3 linked regions of the Arabidopsis thaliana genome follow. The protein of the gene in region 2 interacts with the protein of the main gene of each other region in a pairwise test. Each region holds a gene or a part of one and is shown on either strand. Other genes may lie near its edges.

Region 1 (7,212 bases), on a different chromosome or scaffold from region 2:
GGCCTCTCTATGCCAGAGCTCATGGCAGAGCCAACAGATGTGCGGTCAATGTCCTTTGTGGGCACACACGAGTACCTAGCTCCAGAGATCATACGTGGCGAGGGACATGGCAGCGCTGTGGACTGGTGGACATTCGGGATCTTCCTTTATGAGCTCCTCCATGGGACCACCCCGTTCAAGGGGCAGGGAAACAGAGCCACGTTGCACAATGTGGTGGGTCAGCCGCTGAAGTTCCCGGATACCCCGCATGTGAGCTCAGCGGCACGTGATCTCATCCGCGGACTACTAGTGAAGGATCCACACAGAAGGATCGCTTACACGAGGGGGGCCACAGAGATAAAGCAACACCCTTTCTTTGAAGGAGTGAATTGGGCTCTAGTTCGTAGTGCTGCCCCACCTCACATTCCAGACCCCGTGGACTTGGGACCGTACGCGGCCGCTAGAGGTAAGACCAAGAGCCATGGAGGTGGTGATCACTGTAACTCAATGAAGCCGGAGCCTCTGGTCGCCTGTGCTGCTGGTCCCACGGATGATACGGCGTATATAGATTTCGAGTACTTTTAGACTTAAAACTCCACAAGCTGAAAGTTTCGATATGTTTGTTTTTGTTCATATTCTTTAATTTTGGCGAATACAAATTGTGATTTATAAAAGAAGAACAGATGACTTGGTTTAAGAGACTAAAAGAGTTTTACTAAAAGAGTTAAAGCAGATTTTGTGTGTGAGATAACAATTTGTCAATGAAAAAATCCACAAAAGCTTCTCTGAGTCAATTAAAATGTCCTAAGAGACAACACTCTTCTCGACATAACAGAGCGTCAGAACCATTGGTTCCAAATTTCTCGCTGCCTTATTCTTATCGTCATCCTCCGACCAAAGTTCCATCTTCTGCACAGAGATGTTGATGAAGCACTGTTTTGTGTCTCATAACGCCAATGATCTCTGTTTCTCTTTCTCCAACTCCAAATTCAATCTTGCAAGCTGCCCAAAGAAGCCACCTCGTCTCACCTGCGTTGTCAATGTTGGATTCCAAGATATCGCTGAGGTCATCCACAACAAGGTTTCGCCTTTTTCTCTTCTTTCATTCCTTTTTTTGGAGGGTCATCGTCACTTAGGCTTTTGATTTCACCGGCGTGAAGGTACTCATAGCTGCTGGGACTTCTGCTGTGATTGGGCAGCTCTCAAAGCCATTCACTTCTGTCGTTTTGTATGGGAAAAATCTGGACTTTAGAAGTGTCTTTCAAGCTGGAGGTTTCCCTTCAACACATTCTTCTGTAAGCTTATCCTTTTTTTATTCTTGTTTCCTCTGGTAATATTGTTTGTCTACTTCTCTGACATTTTGGCCTAATTCTTGAGAAACCAGTCTGTTGTGGCTGCAGCAACTGCTATTGCTTTTGAAAGGTGATTAGCCTGAACCTTTCTCTTCTCAATTCCCCTAAATATACTCAGCTTATGCAATTTCCTGAATATGGTTTGGCTTCAGGGGATTTGCTGACTCCATTTTTGGTCTAACTGTGGTTTATGCTGGCCTTATCATGTATGATGCCCAGGTAAAATAGTCTATAGAGAAAAGCTTAGGCTGGCTTTTGTTCAATAGGTCTTTGTTGGTTATTCTCAAATTCTCAATGTCTGATTCTAGTGTTATCTTAATGTCTCACTGATTGTAACATTGCAGGGGGTGAGGAGAGAAGTTGGAAAACATGCCAAAGTGTTGAACAAACTAACAGCTAATGCTCGTAGAAGTGAAGTAATGAGTTTAAAGGGCAACGAATCTAACAAAGCTTTGACATCAGAAGAGATCAGTGAGGAGATTGCTCCTCCATTGAAAGAATCAATAGGACACACTGAAGTTGAAGTCATAGCAGGGGCTTTGTTCGGTTTCTTAGTTACCCTCAGTGTTTATTCCCTGATGTAAAAAAGCTCCCAACTTTATAAAAACTATATATTTTTTGTGTTGATAAGAAAGAAAGAGAATTTAATAATGTGCAAACTGCAATAAAACAGAGAATCAGTGGTAATGTCAAATCAAGTTTTATGGATCTGAGAATTTTTGTTCTGTTTGAGTTGGTTGTAAACCCCACAAACACAACAATTTTGATAATTTGTTTGACACCAAAAAAGTAGAAAGCTTTTTCCTTTAGGGTTTCCTTTTTCGATCGAATGGCACATCGTCAATTGTATAGCTACGCCCTTCAACCTTCTTATGCTGCTGCTGCCTCCACCGTATCTCCAGCTCCTCCTCCGCCGCAACAACCACTGCCGCCAAAAACCGGTCTTTCTTCTCTCTACGGTTCTTCTGCTGACCATTACTTTCCGGATACCACGTATCGTTTCTTAGCTCGTGATGGATCCGAAGCTTTGAGCAACTATTCAGGGACTCTTGCATCGTCTTCCTCTATGTACCATCATTTGCCTAACACGACGGCATCGCATTTGGCGTATCCTCAGCTGCTTCAGCATCAGGAAGTTGCTTGGCCACCTGGTGTGGAGGTTCCCGGTGCTGCTTCCGCCGTCGAGCCACTTCCTCCTGGTGTCAAACGCACCTCTGAAGGTAGGCTCTTTGTTTACCTTACTATTTATGGGATCTGCATCATTTTCTTATTTATTGCTTGGAGAACTATGCCGCATAACTTGAAAAGTTAAAGACTTCAGCTTTCCCTTTTCTCTGCTCATCGTGATACTCTAGTTCTGTAGCGGAAATTAGTGTTTTTGATGGTTTGTTTCTTCAATTGCAGCATAAAAAACTCAGCTTTAGTCATGGTCTCTAGCCTGATTCTTTCTAGGATAGATTTTAATTTACATTTGCTCAAGCACAATGATGTTGGTTTGTATTCCTCTGTGCTTTCTCGTTAGCTGAAATAGAGGTTGGATTGGTTTGGCCAATTGCTTTGTTTTGAGTCTGGACAACGCGAAGCTTGACAGTTAGAATCATCTTTCAGGAGATGCTTAGGGATTGCATCTATAAACTATATAGCTTATGGTAGTGTTCTTGATTAAGTCTTTGTTGCTTTAGGATTGCCTAACGATAATTGTTTTTAGTTTTGACCTTAATGTTTATTGGAACACTTGGTGATTTTGCAGAATTGATTGATGATTTATGTTTTGTTGTAACTCTATGGTTTCCAATAGATTTTCAGACATGATTGTATGTAAGCCAGAATTTCTTACTGTAAGTTTAACTAAAGATACAATTGATTATTGATGCTATATCTTGGTTTTTGCTATAGTATCTCCCAAATTTATTTTCAAATTATACTTATAGTCAGTATATATCTTCTCATTTCGTTGTATATTATTGTTTATTATGTAATTTAGCGCTCTACTATCCGACTCTGTTGGGTGCCCATAATACAATTGGTCAAACCGAAGCTTGGTATACTACAGACTATTTTACCAAGCGCCCTAAGTTGGAGAGTACAAGCCATTTGCCTATATATCCACAGAGGGCAGGAGAGAAAGATTGTACCCACTATATGCAAACAAGAACATGTAAATTTGGAGAAAGCTGCAGGTTTGATCATCCTATTTGGGTTCCTGAGGGCGGAATCCCAGATTGGAAAGAGGTGATCGTTTACTACTATCTAAGTATTTCTTATGCCCTCATATGATTTTTACATTATTATGATAACGTTTTTCTATATTCTGTTATGTACTTATATGTTTTATACTGTGGGAGTTTGTGCCTAATTACTTTGTAACTATATATATTGTTTTTGTTTGGTATACGAGGTTATAGAATTACTACATTATCATGATAGTGTAGGTATAGGTATGACAAATGGTATCTTATTGTTATTCAAGATTTGAGCTTCCCGACTTCTGCAACCGTGTTTGTTATCCTTGCTTTTCCCTTTGTCAGATCATTCCTTGACTTGGAAGAGACATCATACTCATTGTCTAGGCATTACATGATAAAATGATATGATTGTTTTTGCTTATGAATATCTTTTCATTCAGGCACCAGTTGTTCCAAATGAAGAGTATCCTGAGAGACCAGGAGAACCAGATTGTCCTGTAAGCTGTTCGTGAAAACTTTTCGAGCTATTTTATTTCTGTTTCGCCTGAAGACCTGAGACTATCTTTCTTTTATTTTCACTGTTATCCAGTACTATATAAAAACACAACGCTGCAAATATGGTTCAAAGTGCAAATTTAATCATCCAAGAGAAGAGGCTGCAGTAAGTGAATTTTCCTTTTCCAAATAAAATTATCCCTCGGGTTGTGTATTTGCCTGCAGACACTCGCATAAAATCTTGTGCTTGTAATATGTACTGCTTTAGTTTTTTCTTGGGCTGTGCATGCACCTAGAAGCTTGATGCTCTTCTTTATTTCAGGTTAGTGTTGAAACTCAAGATTCATTGCCTGAGAGGCCTTCTGAACCTATGTGCACAGTAAGATATAAACATAATTGATTGACCTATCCTATTTTTATAAATGCTCTTACATATGAAACTAATATCGATTATTAATTTGGCATTTCTACTCTGCATCAGTTCTACATGAAGACTGGAAAATGTAAATTTGGTTTGTCATGCAAATTCCACCATCCAAAGGATATCCAGCTACCATCATCGAGTCAAGATATTGGTAGCAGTGTGGGGTTAACCAGTGAGCCTGATGCCACAAACAATCCGCATGTCACATTTACCCCAGCATTGTATCACAACTCAAAAGGACTACCTGTTAGATCGGTAATGAATTCATCTTCACTTTGCATAAGACTGACTTATAATCATATAGGCACAATTTGTGACTTTCTACTATCTTATTGGCACTATACTTAGAACTGATTATGGTTTGCTAGCATTGTATGCTGACCTGTTCTGACGTCTGAGAATGAAGTTTCACTAATTAGATTGTAGCTTTTTCAGGGTGAAGTGGACTGCCCATTCTATCTCAAAACGGGAAGGTGAATATCTCTTGTATAATACTATTTTGTTGTTTAGAACATTGAAACAAAGAACGTGACATTAACGTTCTAACTTGTTTTCCTTTTCCATAATCAGCTGCAAGTATGGAGCCACTTGTCGCTACAATCATCCTGAGAGGACTGGTTTGTGATCATGCCAAAATTTTGTGGTTTTTAGAACCTTTAACGTATTACTTTTATCCCTAAATTCTCATAATGTGCGATGTTTTGATTCTGTGCACAGCATTCATTCCCCAAGCTGCTGGGGTAAACTATTCTCTAGTTTCATCGAACACTGCGAATTTGAACCTTGGGCTGGTTACACCAGCTACCTCTTTCTATCAGACTCTTACTCAACCCACGGTAAAAGCCTTTATTCATGTTGTGAGAAATATTCAAGAGCGCTTCTTTAGTTGATAGGGGTTTAATTAGAGTGGAAATTGTTTCAGCTTGGAGTGATTTCAGCAACTTATCCCCAAAGACCTGGACAATCAGAATGTGACGTTAGTATCCTTGTTTCTTTTAGAGATTGCTGAGCTTTTTCTCCCACATGTTAGTTGAAATTTTATACCAAAAGCTCTGTCTTTCAATATTACAGTACTACATGAAGACAGGGGAGTGCAAGTTTGGAGAGAGATGCAAATTCCATCACCCAGCAGATAGGTTAAGTGCAATGACCAAACAAGCTCCTCAACAACCAAATGTAAAGCTGAGTCTTGCAGGGTATCCCAGAAGAGAGGTACCTATAAAGTGGTATTATTAGAAGCCTGCATGTTGTGAGTTTGTGTGGTAATCTCATAGACAAAACAAAAACTGTTGCAGGGTGCGCTTAATTGCCCTTATTACATGAAGACAGGAACTTGCAAATACGGGGCAACATGCAAGTTTGACCATCCTCCTCCAGGTGAGGTGATGGCTAAGACCACTTCAGAAGCCGATGCTGCTGGAGCAACCAACACCGACACTACTCAATGAGTTTCCCAGCTTTGTGTAACATAAGATGATATCTTGTTGTAATCCTAGTTTACTTCCTATGTACTGCATCTGTTTCGTTTCGAAATGCTTATCGCTCGTGAGTTCTCTACTTCTCTTTATCATCCTAAAACAAAAAAGATATCGTTGAGTGAGTCTTCTTTTACTCAGTTGAGCTCATAAAAGCAAAATTGTTCATCACCACTCTTCTCTCCTCAATGATCCAATTGAGCATTTATCTGCCGTTGATTCGGTTCTCTTGGATAAATATCGTTTCCATTGTGATTTTGTTTATAGCAATTGTCAGTAAACTCCAACTAATCTCCACAATAAGATGAAACAACACGTAACAACAAGATGTGACAGAGTGACGACAGAGAGCCAGTGCATGAAACATGCTTCTTCAGCAAGACACATGTCGGTGCTAACTGCTAAATCAAAAGTGGGTCCAATGTTTTGTTCTTAAGAGTCGAAGAAGAGGACATGACATGAGAAACAGAGGCAAAGGAAGAAAACATGGACTAGTTGTCTCCGTGTCTCTGATTTTAAGTTTTGATGAAACATGTGGAAGGCCTCTATTAATGGTATAACGACAAATGATGAAAGTAGCAAAGGAGGACTCAAAAAGTTTGATGCCTTTTTGATTGGATCTTTTAAAAATATGAGCACACTTCCCTATAATACTTCTATAATCCAAAATACTCTTTTGGGCCTATCTTACCAAAATTATGCAAACTTCCACAACACAAACACGAGTGTCACAAACCCTAAATCTAATCTCAAGAGTCTGGAGCAGAAAAATAAATTTACCATGGTTTTGAAATTTACCGTTTCAGTCCCTTTTTATTTTATTTTCTTACTCAAGCCCAATGTTGATGTATTATTTTGAGATTAAAAAACTTTTGACCAAATAAAAAAACTATTTTGATTTGCTTTCAATTTGGGTTTAAATAAGAGTGAGGGTCTCGCAGGTTAGCTTATAAGCCGCCGCCTTGAAAATCCAGAAGGCCATTTTTGTTGGTGAAAGGTAGAATTCGTAAATTTCTTCTGCTCACTTTATTGTTTCGACTCATACCCGATAATCTCTTCTATGTTTGGTAGAGATATCTTCTCAAAGTCTTATCTTTCCTTACCGTGTTCTGTGTTTTTTGATGATTTAGGTGAAGAAGAAGAAGCAGAGACAAAAACGATTATGAAGTACGTTTTGGTGACAGGAGGAGTGGTGAGTGGTCTTGGCAAAGGTGTCACTGCTAGTAGCATTGGACTTCTCCTTCAAGCATGTGGTCTTCGTGTCACTTCCATTAAAATTGGTGAGATTCTTGTCTATCTGG
Region 2 (6,041 bases):
ATGGATATAACAGTTCGAAATAAGTTATCGTCTTCATACATCCCTAGAACCCCAACGACTGGACTAAAACCCTCAACTTCTAAAATAAGACTTATTGTAGAATAATACCAAATTGTGAAAAAAAAAACAAATATAAATTATTGACTATAGTTTGAAGTAAGTCGTAATTTTTTCCGCAAGGTAAATTCATTCAAAGTTAAAATGTGGAGAGTGAGAGAAAGAGAGTCGCGTGGCTATTGGGTAATGAGAAACGATTGGACCCATTTGGTATCATTCGGAAGTGATATGTGGCAGAGGGCAATCATACGTTTTCGTCATAGCGTTAGATTTTCTTACAGTTTCTTAGAGATTATTTCGATTGTTTGTGTCAAACGAGTTTAGTATGTTACTGCTATTGAACAGTAGTATTTTCTCATGTATCGATATGAATACGTTTACTCTTTTTCTTTTTTTCACACAATCAGATGAATATAGGGATGAATATACGTAGTTTTGTCTTTGTCATATACTAGATTATATTCCCACCAGTCATTTTCCTATGTATTTAACAAGACAAGACGTAGAAAAATGAGAATTTTAGTACTTGAGTTAACATATTTAAAGATTATATTCCCATCAGTCATTGAACATATGTGTACATATATATACGAGGAGAATCTATAACTTAGTAAGGAGGGAAATATGAGATTTTATTTCTATAGAGAAAAGAAAGGATAAAACCTCTCTCTGCCAACACTGGCCACCGTCTCCAAAGTCCATCCCAGTTAATTTTTATTTTTTGGAATCTTCTTATGTTATTACTCTTTCTTTTCTTATGACAACATGTCAACATGTGACCTGTCGTCTTCTACTTTCTTTTCTTCAGCTTTTCTCCTTTTAAGCAGAATATTCAATCTATCTTCAAATTCATATCTGAGTTTTGTACTATAAAAGAAAAGCAGACATTAAAAAAGATTTGAATATAAAACAAATGTATTGGAGTGGTAAAGCACATCTTCATCAAACATTTTTAAGGAGCATCAATCTAATTGGTCGATGGAAATGGAAGTAAAGGAATAGAAGATTGTTTGTGTTCCATGATGATGTATATATATGCCTAATTAATGTTACTGTTAGTTACCTTTGGATAACAAAGATATTTAAAGCGGTTTAATGCTTATTAACGGTTGATGGATGTTACCTTTTCTTTTTGACATCACGGTAGATGTTACCTTTCATAGGTGTTGAATAGACAGATTGGGGACGTTAATTAGTAATGATGTAATTAGTTAGAGCTAAATAGTGCTAATAAATATATGTAAGAAATTGTTCGGAAAGTAACTAAAAAAAGTTCAATTCATGCAAGTAGACACTTCAAATGTGATAAATGTATAAGTATGATGTTAAGCATGTGACCCTTGAGAGTCGATTAGGGCACTGTACAAGATTGACCCAAATAGTTACAAACTACAAGTGAACTCTCTTCCATTACATATCTACGTGTATTGAGGGGACCATTATCGTACGTATACACGTATATATGTTTTGCCCTAAATTCCCAATTTTAATTCAGCATGGGGGACGGACTCATTCAATAGCATCGTCTTTCACTTTCCTTCTTCGGTTTAAAATCTCATTTTAGTTTCTGATCCAAAAAAAAATGTTTGATCAAAGATCAAAAACTTAGATAGAAACAAACTGTTTTTTTTTCTTAAATCAAGAAAGTCTAAAAAACTAAGATACAAAAAGGGACTCGCAGCGGCAGAGAGATAAGTATCTTACGGGCCAGCAGATAATTTCTATGTTACGTCCCTTTCATCCCCATTGCATATTGCATATGAAGACAACGGATATTAACTAAAATCTTCCAAAATTACGGTATAATGAATAATAATACACTTCTGTCTCATATAGTATTCTATTATATTGTTCGAAAATGTTCTTATTTACATATCTATTTATATTGTTAATTGATTGCGGCTATTACTGTGGATATTCATCGTAACTATTTTAATCAATACAAATCATGCAAAATAGTGAATGACTTAGAAAAGTTGAAACCACATATGATTGAGTTTAGGGGGAAAAGTATAAAAGAAAGCATGACTAGTATGTTACTATGTAGTAAGCTTCAAACATATATTTAAGAAAATACTATATATAGATACATATGATATAACATAACATTAAAATATATGGTGAAACATTTTTTCTTAATATCCTAAGCTTCAAACATATACCCAAGTAGAGAAGAGTTGGAGTATTCATTCTTTGGTTAAACATAGACCTAATACATAGCTCATATGGACAATTTTTCGACAAAACAAAAATGATAGCAAATGGGCTAAAATGGTTTCATATCGAAAAGCCCAAACCATTAAGCCAAAACGACGTCGTACGATATGACAGCGGCGATTCCTATAACCACCACCAGAGGTTAAAAAGTCTCTCTCTTTAGCTATCTTTTTTGTGTTACCGGTTCAAATGGCCGCCGTCGCAGATTCCGTTGAGAACAACGGTTCCATAAACCTCCCTGAGAATGAAAACCTTATACCGGCGGGATTCAGTGCCGCCGCATTGCTTGACGAAAACTCTGGCGCTTTCCCTGAATTGAATCAGCCCGATAGCTTAGCTGCTGCTGAGACTACCTTCCCCGATACGAACGATTCCGCGGAGGAGAGGTGGCCAGGTTGGCCTGGTGATTGCGTGTTTCGTATGATCGTTCCGGTGACTAAAGTCGGAGCTATTATTGGACGCAAAGGTGACTTTATAAAGAAGATGTGTGAGGAGACTCGTGCTCGTATCAAAGTCCTTGATGGTCCTGTTAATACTCCCGATCGCATCGTTAGTATCTCTATCTCCTTCTACGTGATTTACTGTGTTCAAAGCTAATTCGAATTTGGGGATTTTTAATTTCTATTTCTAGGGTTTCTTAATCATAAGTAGGAAGATTCTTGAGTTGTGATCATTAAAGTTGTGAACTTTTATCCCCTAGTTGTGCAATTTGATTACTTTATGGTTCCAATTATAGTTTGAAGTGTTCACTAAGTTAATTACTTGCTCAATGTTATGTTTTAGGTGTTAATATCTGGTAAGGAAGAACCAGAGGCCTACATGTCACCGGCAATGGACGCAGTGTTGAGGGTGTTTAGACGTGTTTCAGGGTTGCCTGATAATGATGATGATGATGTTCAAAACGCTGGAAGTGTCTTCTCTTCAGTGCGTTTATTAGTTGCTTCAACGCAGGCGATTAATTTGATTGGAAAACAAGGATCTTTGATTAAGTCTATAGTAGAGAACTCTGGTGCATCAGTTCGTATTTTATCAGAAGGTATTATCTATCATCTGCAGTTTTCTGTTTTTACCTAATTGATCTCTTTGTTTGTGATTGTTAAAGTTTAGTTTTTGCTATTTCAATTCATGTCTGTTTTTTTTTCTAAAATTGGTGTCTTTGTTGCCAGTTTCTTATTTCTCTACTTTTTTCTGCCAGAGGAAACACCGTTTTATGCTGCACAGGATGAGAGGATAGTGGATTTGCAAGGGGAAGCTTTAAAGATTCTTAAAGCATTAGAAGCCATTGTTGGACACCTTAGGAGATTTTTAGTTGACCATACTGTTGTCCCTCTCTTCGAGAAGCAAGTAAGCTTGCTTGTTTCAATCGAGATTATTCCTTTCCCTTTTTTTTCTTTTCTGAATTATTGTTATCTTTTCTTATCTTCAGTATCTAGCTAGGGTCTCTCAAACTCGCCAGGAAGAACCGTTAGCTGAAAGCAAGTCATCTCTGCATACTATTTCGTCAAATCTAATGGAGCCTGATTTCTCCCTCTTAGCACGGAGGGAACCTTTGTTTCTGGAGCGCGATTCTCGGGTGGACTCACGTGTTCAGCCTTCGGGAGTTTCTATCTACAGTCAGGATCCTGTACTGTCTGCCAGACACTCCCCAGGTCTTGCTCGGGTTTCTTCTGCTTTTGTGACACAGGTAGATTCCCTTAAATACAACATCAGCTCCTGAAAACGAGTTTAGCGATATCATCTTACTTGTTATGATTAGTCTTCCAGCAGTGATTTTGATCTTAACACATCTAACTTGTTTCTCTGAACTAGTAGTGACGTTTCTATAATGGATTCTCTTACTAGGTATCTCAAACGATGCAAATACCATTCTCCTATGCAGAGGATATTATTGGTGTAGAAGGAGCTAATATAGCCTATATCCGTCGAAGAAGCGGAGCTACCATAACCATTAAAGAGAGTCCGCATCCTGATCAAATCACAGTGGAAATCAAAGGCACAACTTCTCAAGTACAAACTGCTGAGCAACTAATTCAAGTAAGAACACATTCGATCTGTATATATATATATATACTTTCTGCGACGTGGCATTGTATAAACACTAAGATTATGCTTGCTTTGCATCCTACCCCGCCTGCTTCATCATAACCGTATTCTTTTGTTTACGTGTGTGTAGGAGTTCATCATCAATCACAAGGAACCAGTTTCGGTATCAGGGGGATATGCCAGAATCGACTCTGGATATGTACCTGCATATCCTCCTCAGCTAAGTAACCGTCAAGAGCCGCTCCCGAGCACCTACATGGGCACAGAGCCGGTGCAGTACAGACCAACAGCATACTCTCAGCTGGGGGGTCCTTCTACCTACACACCGACCCTGACTGGGCAAACTTATGGTTCGGAATATAGACCAGCTTCTGATGTTGGTGGCTACAGCAGTTATAATCTTTGAATTGGTTGCTGTGTTTAAGTTTATTTGCAGATTAATTTCTCTTTAGAGAAAGGCTCATTTATAATATAATAGAGAGGGAAAAGGAACAAGTTCTAGAGAGCCAATGTAGTTGTTGGAATGTGTAATGTAAATCTAGGTGCCCTTTTTTTTTTTTTTTTTCATACCTCGATATATGTCACACTACGTTTCTGGTCAAATAAGAACATGTTTTTTCTTTCTTTTTTGTATGAATTTGTTTATCAGAAGTCAGAATGATTCAGTTTTAAGAAATTTTTAGTTAACGTTTTACAACAATAACCTGTAGGAGCTTTTTCTTAATTGAATAAGTTTAAGCTTTCTATTTTGATCTGATGATGCTAATATGAAAGCATTCTCCGAAGAACCAAACCACATGAGACTTTTTGATTTCAATGTCCATTCGTAACTAGTAACGGAAAAGATCAGACAGAAAAAATGTACCAATCATTCCATATTTGTAGTTTTACATGATATAGTAATATTCTCTAGGTGTTTAAGTTGTATATTTCATGATTTTTACACATTTTAAAACCTGATTAAGGCCTGTTTTTAACTTTTTATTTCTTCAAACCGTAAGAAACAATCCTTGCAAGAAACAATCCTTGCTTCTTCTTCTTTTTTTCGTCAAGAAACAATCCTTGCTATATTTTCATTTTTACAGCTTCTTGTTTTTAAGAGAGCAAATATAATAAATAAGGACGGCTGAAAAGAGGTATATGTATCACAAAATTAAACAAAAGAGAATCCACCTATCGACATAGACGTGGTATCCTTTCGATATCGACAGAATTATGTTGAACGCAGCAAGTTGGCCATTAATCAAATCTTTGACGCGTGGAATCATTCTATTGTCAATGAAAACAAATATTAAAGAACAGGTACTACCTATATACCTAATAGATTCCTCTAACCCGTCAAATGTCAATGTATCGACCGTTACAATTATGCACGTCTTCTAATTGAAACATTCTCTACTTTGCCAATGTCTTATCCCCAAAACTACATATAAATATGCATTTACGGGGGCTTAGAATTTCATCACAAAACTTGCAAGTATCATTCACAGGAGAGGGAAGGGAGAGCTCATCATACGAAATGAGGTCAATCACAGCTTTGTTTTTCCTTTTCTGTTTCCTTGCTCCTTCTGCTTTGGCGCAGCTCCGAACTGGGTTCTACAGCCGCTCATGCCCCCGTGCCGAATCTATCGTGGCTAGTGTTGTTGCCAACCGTTTCAGAAGTGACAAGTCCATTACTGCAGCATTTCTTCGTATGCAGTTTCATGATTGCTTTGTCAGGGTCC
Region 3 (7,147 bases), on a different chromosome or scaffold from region 2:
ATCTTTTACATACTTGTAATTTGTAAAAAAAAAGTGGAATGAATGGCTGGGGGTTTGATGTTTATAGTACAAAAGCTCCACATCTGATTCTGAGGAAGTTAACTCCAAGGAAGATCTTCTTCATCTTTGGATGATAACGAACAAACGTAATGTACAAATATATACGAATATTATTCAACCTCGCAAGACCCTCTTCTATAGACTCAAATTTCATAGTTTTTTTCGCTTTTGCACTATTTTTACGCATGAATCTTAATTTTGCATTACTATTGATTTGATTACTGATAGCGAGTATGGTATATCAAATGTGTATAGAATCTCTGATAAAGTTTGTAGTGTAGTTTTGCTACAGAAAGAACAAATGTTCTGAGATTGTGAAAGCTATAAAATGAAGGGGTTTACAAAACCATCAGTGAAACTCTGTTGACGGTAACAATTTTCAGGCTTTGATTTTGGAACTTTTTTTTTTTTTTTTTTTCTTTTTTTTTTGTCAAACAACTTTGATTCTGGAACTTATAGAGTAAAATTCCTATAAATTTTCTACCATTTGATTTTCATAGCTAAAGAAGGTGACAAAAGCTGGAAAAAAGGCAGTCTACAAAGAAATTGTGCAAGCAGGTTTTAGCAATCCAAAGCAGCCAACATATTGACCCGTTGTTATCAAGTTTTCCTTTTGTAAACATCTAGTACCGAACATTTTATGACAATGACTGTCCCTCTATATACTGTCAATCAAATCTCAGTTCCATGCGTAATAATGTGGGATAAAAGAAGAAAATTTTAGGCAAGACATCAAACTGATTCCTTCAAAGTACTTAAAACGAAAAAGATATTGTACAAGAGTTCAAAAGATCCAAATCAACAAAAAAAAAGGGAGATTAAATAAAAGGGACAAGAAACATGTGAGAGCTCGTTTCCTTTTTTTTGTTTTCTGTATGGTTATAAGTGTGTGGTTCTAGTTTAGGTTGTATTTTTTGGACAATGAGGTTTCACCTGTAAGGATGAAGGCATGAAGAAGGTTTTGGGCAGCCTGGGTTTGATCAGGTGTTCCAGATATGACAATGATCCTGTCACTTGTTCCTAGAGGAGGTTCATGGATTATGACCCTTGCACCCGATATCTGAGTAAACAAGCATCAAATGGTATAAGCTATGCTTAAGCCGTTTAAGTCAACCAACGGGGTGCTACTTCATCTTTATGACACTAATTATTTGGTCTGTAGATGATTATTTCAGACTGATGGGGCTAGATGAAAATTCTGTTTTTAAACAACGACTGTAACACTGAATAATGGAACAAACGTTGAGTACTTCAACGAAGATGGAGTTTTCGTGACTTAAAACAGTTTTTTTTGAGTAAAGTTATACATCGTTGAGAATAGTCCTAGACTCCTATTGACTTAGATTAATGGTAGCACGATTGTTTGCACCATGTATAAGACTTTACGTATATGAATTTTATTTTCTCATGCTTTCTTTTTAGTAACCCTAGAGTTCACTTCCGTTTTTAGTAACCCTAGAGTTCACTTACGTATAAGAGCAGCCAATGGAAACCAAAACCTATGGCTGCTCTTGTGGAGCAATTAATCATGGCCTAACCTCTTTTGGATGACGCTATGGGGAAAACCAATAAAAGATTTGTAAACAAAAAATGGCTTACCTGTCTCAGTTGTTCCAGATTGTAACCCTGCTCTCCATACACAAAGCTCATAGCATTAGCTGGAACTCTAATTTCCACGGTAGTGTTTGTAACGATGGCAGATTTGTGTCCACTAGAAAAGACCAAGCGAGCATGTAAACTACACAAAGATCAGAGTAATTATCTCACATAACTGTCTATAATTGTAGTGCTTTTACCTGCCAAGTACATGGCCAGCCCTTGCAGAAGATAATCCGCCACTGGCATCAGATAAGCCTCTTGGAGCTGCTGGAGGCTACATAAAAACTATGTCTATCAGCTACAGAAGTTAGATAGAAGCACAAATGTTCAAAATCTGAATGTGTAGAGGAAGAATGGGAGTATCAACAAGTACTTATGTACAGCAGAAAGGGGAGGATGGGAGAATACAGAGAGATGGAGACATACCGGGGACGCCCACAAACGAGATGGGGCCTCAGTTAAGTGATGGGAGTTATCACTGTGGTCCATGGTAAACCGCCGACCAAAATTATGAGAATAGCCTGCTGAGGGATTAAACCTATCAGGAAATGGGTCTTCTGGTCTTATGTAAGGATCTGTGCCAACTGATCTGGAATAGTTAACTGATGAATGAGACCCACTTAAAAAGGAATCCTCAGATCTTCTGTGCAGACTTGAGGAGTTGGTAGCTGGATTACTAACGGATTGATGAGACCCAATAGACAGAGGATTGTCTGATTGTCTGTCGTAGAATCTCTCAGTAGTTAAGGCGGAGCTGCTCTTGGCTAAGGAATTTTTCATTGAGTTGGAGAAAACACTGTCTCGCAGCCTGCTTGTAATATGGAAAATGGCTTCTCTCACATTAGGGAACTCTCCTGTAATCTATTGGCCAGTAAAGAATTAGTTTATGCCAGACAACTTAAGGAACAATGGAGCTTACAATATGACCGAGTTAATCTCTCAACCAAGTTTACAGTAAATGATCTTTTTAACTCTCTGTTTGCATGAATCTTTCAATTTCTTTCAGAATGTAGCAATAACTAAAACACCACCAACTTTTGACAAGTGTGCAAGGTGAATAGAGACCAACACAGGATTCGGTAATGAAAAGCAAACCACTAACATTTAGCATGCTAATTCCAAATTATGCTCACAAATCAGATGAGAGATTGTCACGTGGAATATGTACCATAACCATAAGGTCAACAAATGATCTAAGTACCTGCACAACTTGATCATTCTCTGAAATACATTTTGGGTTCTGCTCAACCTTCAAAATTTGAATTGCAGCCCCAGTGGTTTTCCGCATTTCCGAAACAATAACACCTCCTTTTCCCAGCACACAACCAATCTGACTTGTTGGGACAACAAGCCGTGCAGTGATAGATGACCTTGGGCCATTATCTAGGATTTTGTTAGTGGCAAGCTCAAATAATCTTGAAAAAATAAGCATAATCGCTTTCTGGGCTGGCGAGCTTTGACATTCAGGGTTCTACATGATGAACAAGCAACAATTATCAACCAAGGATAGTAAATAGATGGAACAGTACTGCATAAGCATCCATGAAAATGGGAAGAAATAGAAAACACCAACCTCTGATGCAGTTACTGCAATCAGACGTTCTTCACAATCATCAAGTGTATTTCCCACATTTATGAAGGCACCTGTTTCGCTATGAAGCATCCTGACAACTTTACCTCCAGTCCCGATAACTCCGCCAGCATTCTCAGTGGAACAAAGTATCTTAAAAACCACATCTTGGTTCCCTACTTCCACTTCTGATGGAGGTGGCTTCATGGTGGCAGTGTTAGCCATTGAAGCAGACGTAGTGAAGCTGTGAGGATGTGTGTCTAAAGTCGAATAACGATGTGCAAGATAATCTGCACTTTGCCCACGAAGAGTTTCTTGTGTCATTGTTTCAATAGGCCTTCCGTAAGCATCACGTGGAAACGACTCAAAAGGCATGCCCATAGCATCACGTGGAACCATTTCGAAAGGTCTATGCAAGGAATCATGAGAATCATCCCTCTCTCTATGCTGTCGAAAACAATCTCCCCTGAGAACATCAGAAGGCATGTATAACGTTTCTTGAGGAACTACATCAATACGCCTGCGTAAAGCATCTTGCCGGTCCGCCTCAACATGCCTGCGTAAAACATCTTGCCGGTCTGCCTCAATATGCATGCGTAAAGCACCCTGGGGAACCGCCTCGATACGCCTAAGATGCAAAGTATCATGAGGAATCACATCATTAGCCCGAGCTACAGTGCCCCGGGGAAATATCTCGTCGTTTCTCAGCCTATAATCGTAAGGGTTAACTTCAACGGACCTAGGAAGTGACTCCTGAATTATTGTCTCTATAGGCCTATGCAAAGATGCTTGGAACTCTTTTTCGAGAGGTCTGTTTCCAACCATCCTTACCTTGTCAATCGATTGACAATTTTGCAAGCAGCGGGAGATAGACACAAGAGCTTTCTTTACAGCGATAGCATTTCCTTCAACCTGCCATAGTTCAATATGAAAACCAATACATTACAATCTGCAAAAAAACAAGCATCTATAGAGTGCTAAACCAACGTTTCAGCTCAAAACATTTTCTCCAAAGAGATATTCATAGTTTCTAAATTTAGTATCAATTAGAATTCGTACCTCCACCATCTCGTCATCAGTATCAGCGCAAATCGGCAAATTCTCAATCCGTATAGAAATTTTGCAGCCAGTTTCTTTCCTAATACTCCCAACCATTTGACCACCTTTGCCTATCACAGCACCGGCATGGCTAGACTCCGTCAACAATCGGCACACGACCGTATCACTATCAGCTTCCGCCGCTAAAAGCTCGAATACCTTAATCAACGCTCCTTGTGCTTTAGATACCTCAACTTCCTCCTCCTTTTTCTCTCCTTCTGCATTGCCATTGTTATTAGCACCCAATTTCACCCTTGATTTCGAATCTGCTTGTGCGATTATCGTGATGACCCGATCCGGAGACCCAGACGGAGGCTCCTCGACCCGTATCTTAGCTCCGGTTGATTGTTGGAGCTGTTTGATTACGTTTCCAGATTTTCCAATCACCGCACCGACGTGTGATAAAGGGCAGAGCAATCTAAACGCCGCGTGTCCCACCGGCACAACCAGAGCTGAGAGCAGCTGCGTGTGATGCGTTTTGACCCTCTTGGAAGATCCGAATCCTGAACCTGGATCAAACGCTCCGGATCTCTTCTCTGCATGAAATTTAACGCTATTTCGCTCCATTATCTCTCCTCTCTCTCCCTCTCCAATCTCGTCACGGCGGTTTCCGGCGCAGAGGACTTGAGAGAAGTCTTTGGTGGTCTTTAACGCTAAGTTGCTAACTTGCGCCAAATATCCGCATTATATATTTATTATTTAACGGCAAACCATACCGTACCGATTTTAAAAATTCTTACTAAACTTAACCGAAATCTAACAACCAATTTATGGGAGTGGGACTGTGTTAGAAATCGAAGAAAGATTGCTTCTGATAAAGAAACATAATAAACTTGTGAATTGTGATTATACCAGTCGATCTTGAATCTTGATAAACAGATATATACACGGATCTAACTTTCCTAATACATAATGTTACAAGCAACCAAATCTAACATCGATTCATTTATTGTTTTTACAGATAATATGAAACAGAGGAGTTGTTTAAACTTCATAGCCAGGGTTCACAGTCTGCTGCACATCTCCATAGCTCTCTAGCTCAGCAACATCCTCTAAGCTCCCAAGAAACAGAGGCAATCTTTGGTGAAGCTTCACGGGTTGTATCGAAAGTATCCCTCTTTTTCCATCAGAGGATTTGCCACCAGCTTGCTCCACGAGAAAAGCCAAAGGGTTACCTTCATAGACTAAACGAAGATGGTCTCTTGGATTCATAGCCACTCCACCGTATAAGAGAGTCCTGTGAAGATCAGCTACTAGAGAACAAATATAACGCGCAGAGTATTTTTTCGGGTTTTGACCTTTGCCTTGTCTCACTGTGTCAATGTACTTCCTTAAACCTTCTGGCCAATCAAAGTACCTCGCATCGTTCACTGAGTAGATTTGTCCTATTGTTGATCATACAAAAAACAACGATTAATGCAGGTTGTTCAGAGCCATGAATAGGAATGTCGCAATGGATCAAGTCATATGTGTCATTAGACGCTTTTTACCCCGAGTTGGGATCTTGATGTTTTGATGGGTAAGAACAAATTCTCCTGTGGAATGGTCTAGCGTGAAGGCGTGTGTTCCCGATCCAAGTGTAACACAGAAGATAGTGGCTGAAGAGTATAGCACATAACCGGAAGCTACAAGCCTGCTGCCTCTCTGCAAAGAATTGAGCTCAGCTTTCTCTTCAACAGGTAAATGATCAAGCTCAACGAGACGATTGTAAATTCCAAATATAGTTCCCGTGGGAATCGAAGCATCGATGTTCCGTGATCCATCTAGAGGATCTACAACCACAACGTAAGGACCATCATCTTTGATCCAAGTTGGACTATCGTTTTCTTCAGAAGCCATTACTGCTACTTTCCCTGAGTTTCTAAGAGAGGACAAGACGATATCGTTCTGCAAAACGGAAACATGAATTGTAAGATTGAATCTTGATATGAATCATGATAAAAAAGAGAGTAATAAGATACAGACCGAGACAATATCGAGCGGCTTAGGCGCATCTCGGTCTGACCCACTAGAGGAGTTAACAGAGAGCTTTCCGAGTGAAGAATTGAAAGGAGAGGCGACAAGAGAAGCGATTCTTTTGCAAGCATGTTGTAAGTGGTAAAGCAACACCACAAGATCCTCTCCTACATTTTTCCCTTCTCCTCCTCCACTACCTATCAGAAAATTTCATAGAACAACTTAAAATAATAATAAATTTAAGACTTCAATCAAACTGCTTATACAGAGGAACCGTCAAAAGTCAAAACCCAACCATTGTTCGTCTAAGAGAGTTTCCAAGATTTGTCTTACTCAATTAAGCACATTTTAGATGCTAAATTCAGGGTATTTCCACTAAAGTTACGGATTTTCGGACATAGATTGACAATGGATGACAGACAACACATTAACTTGAATTATCGAGACAGTGCTAAGTTCGTTCAGACAGAGCAGTTTGTTACCTGCAAAGTCTATAAGAGTACAGTAACCATCATCATCATCTCCGGTCAAATTCCGACCAACGGCAAGGGGCTTAAAGGAAGTTGACTGATGGCGAGACGCCATATCGCGACGGTTAATACCGGCGGTCGGAGCAGAGAGAACAGAAGCTGCGATTTGTCTTAGCGGGTAAAGATTGAGTCTTGGCGGGGAAATTGGAGTTGGGTACCGAGTTAAGGTAAGAGATTGCATTATTTTCTAGAATTTAAAGCATCTGCGAAACTCAATCCCATCCGAGTACGCTTCAAAACGGATAACGAATAGAAGATGACGAGGAGTAGAAAACCCCACAGTTCATAGTATCTGATTACGGTTATTTTTGGAATTGGATTCCGGTTCAATTAT

What was found.
Region 1: the proteins of PEP (region 2) and HUA1 interact in a two-hybrid assay, tested with the Arabidopsis thaliana proteins (one study listed by BioGRID).
Region 3: the proteins of PEP (region 2) and HEN4 interact in a two-hybrid assay, tested with the Arabidopsis thaliana proteins (one study listed by BioGRID).

The regions. Positions count from the first base shown.
Region 1 is NC_003074.8:4,023,948-4,031,159, reverse strand, and holds HUA1 (floral homeotic protein (HUA1)), read left to right. Parts: upstream 1-2,019; 5' UTR 2,020-2,160; coding exon 2,161-2,551; intron 2,552-3,315; coding exon 3,316-3,563; intron 3,564-3,957; coding exon 3,958-4,014; intron 4,015-4,106; coding exon 4,107-4,178; intron 4,179-4,334; coding exon 4,335-4,391; intron 4,392-4,493; coding exon 4,494-4,691; intron 4,692-4,871; coding exon 4,872-4,909; intron 4,910-5,006; coding exon 5,007-5,053; intron 5,054-5,153; coding exon 5,154-5,272; intron 5,273-5,358; coding exon 5,359-5,412; intron 5,413-5,507; coding exon 5,508-5,648; intron 5,649-5,731; coding exon 5,732-5,884; 3' UTR 5,885-6,084; downstream 6,085-7,212. Other genes in the region: AGC1.5 (AGC kinase 1.5), read left to right, coding at 1-564; AT3G12685 (Acid phosphatase/vanadium-dependent haloperoxidase-related protein), read left to right, coding at 899-1,060, 1,140-1,274, 1,364-1,401, 1,484-1,550, 1,676-1,915; emb2742 (CTP synthase family protein), read left to right, coding at 7,074-7,191. UniProt on the Arabidopsis thaliana protein: Involved in flower development. Functions in floral reproductive organ identity by binding AGAMOUS (AG) pre-mRNA and promoting its processing. Functions in association with HUA2 and HEN4.
Region 2 is NC_003075.7:13,194,817-13,200,857, forward strand, and holds PEP (RNA-binding KH domain-containing protein), read left to right. Parts: upstream 1-2,252; 5' UTR 2,253-2,463; coding exon 2,464-2,823; intron 2,824-3,057; coding exon 3,058-3,310; intron 3,311-3,469; coding exon 3,470-3,618; intron 3,619-3,700; coding exon 3,701-3,958; intron 3,959-4,116; coding exon 4,117-4,308; intron 4,309-4,447; coding exon 4,448-4,723; 3' UTR 4,724-5,025; downstream 5,026-6,041. Other genes in the region: AT4G26010 (Peroxidase superfamily protein), read left to right, coding at 5,753-6,037. UniProt on the Arabidopsis thaliana protein: Regulates vegetative and gynoecium development. In concert with HUA2, antagonizes FLK by positively regulating FLC probably at transcriptional and post-transcriptional levels, and thus acts as a negative regulator of flowering.
Region 3 is NC_003076.8:25,741,189-25,748,335, reverse strand, and holds HEN4 (RNA-binding KH domain-containing protein), read right to left. Parts: upstream 4,991-7,147; 5' UTR 4,895-4,990; coding exon 4,289-4,894; intron 4,142-4,288; coding exon 3,233-4,141; intron 3,131-3,232; coding exon 2,861-3,130; intron 2,521-2,860; coding exon 2,086-2,520; intron 1,934-2,085; coding exon 1,857-1,933; intron 1,799-1,856; coding exon 1,660-1,798; coding exon of another isoform or gene 1,594-1,659; exon of another isoform or gene 1,121-1,593; coding exon 956-1,120; 3' UTR 684-955; downstream 1-683. Other genes in the region: AT5G64395 (uncharacterized protein), read left to right, coding at 39-134; AT5G64380 (Inositol monophosphatase family protein), read right to left, coding at 5,312-5,712, 5,818-6,214, 6,293-6,480, 6,766-6,994. UniProt on the Arabidopsis thaliana protein: Functions in floral reproductive organ identity in the third whorl and floral determinacy specification by specifically promoting the processing of AGAMOUS (AG) pre-mRNA. Functions in association with HUA1 and HUA2.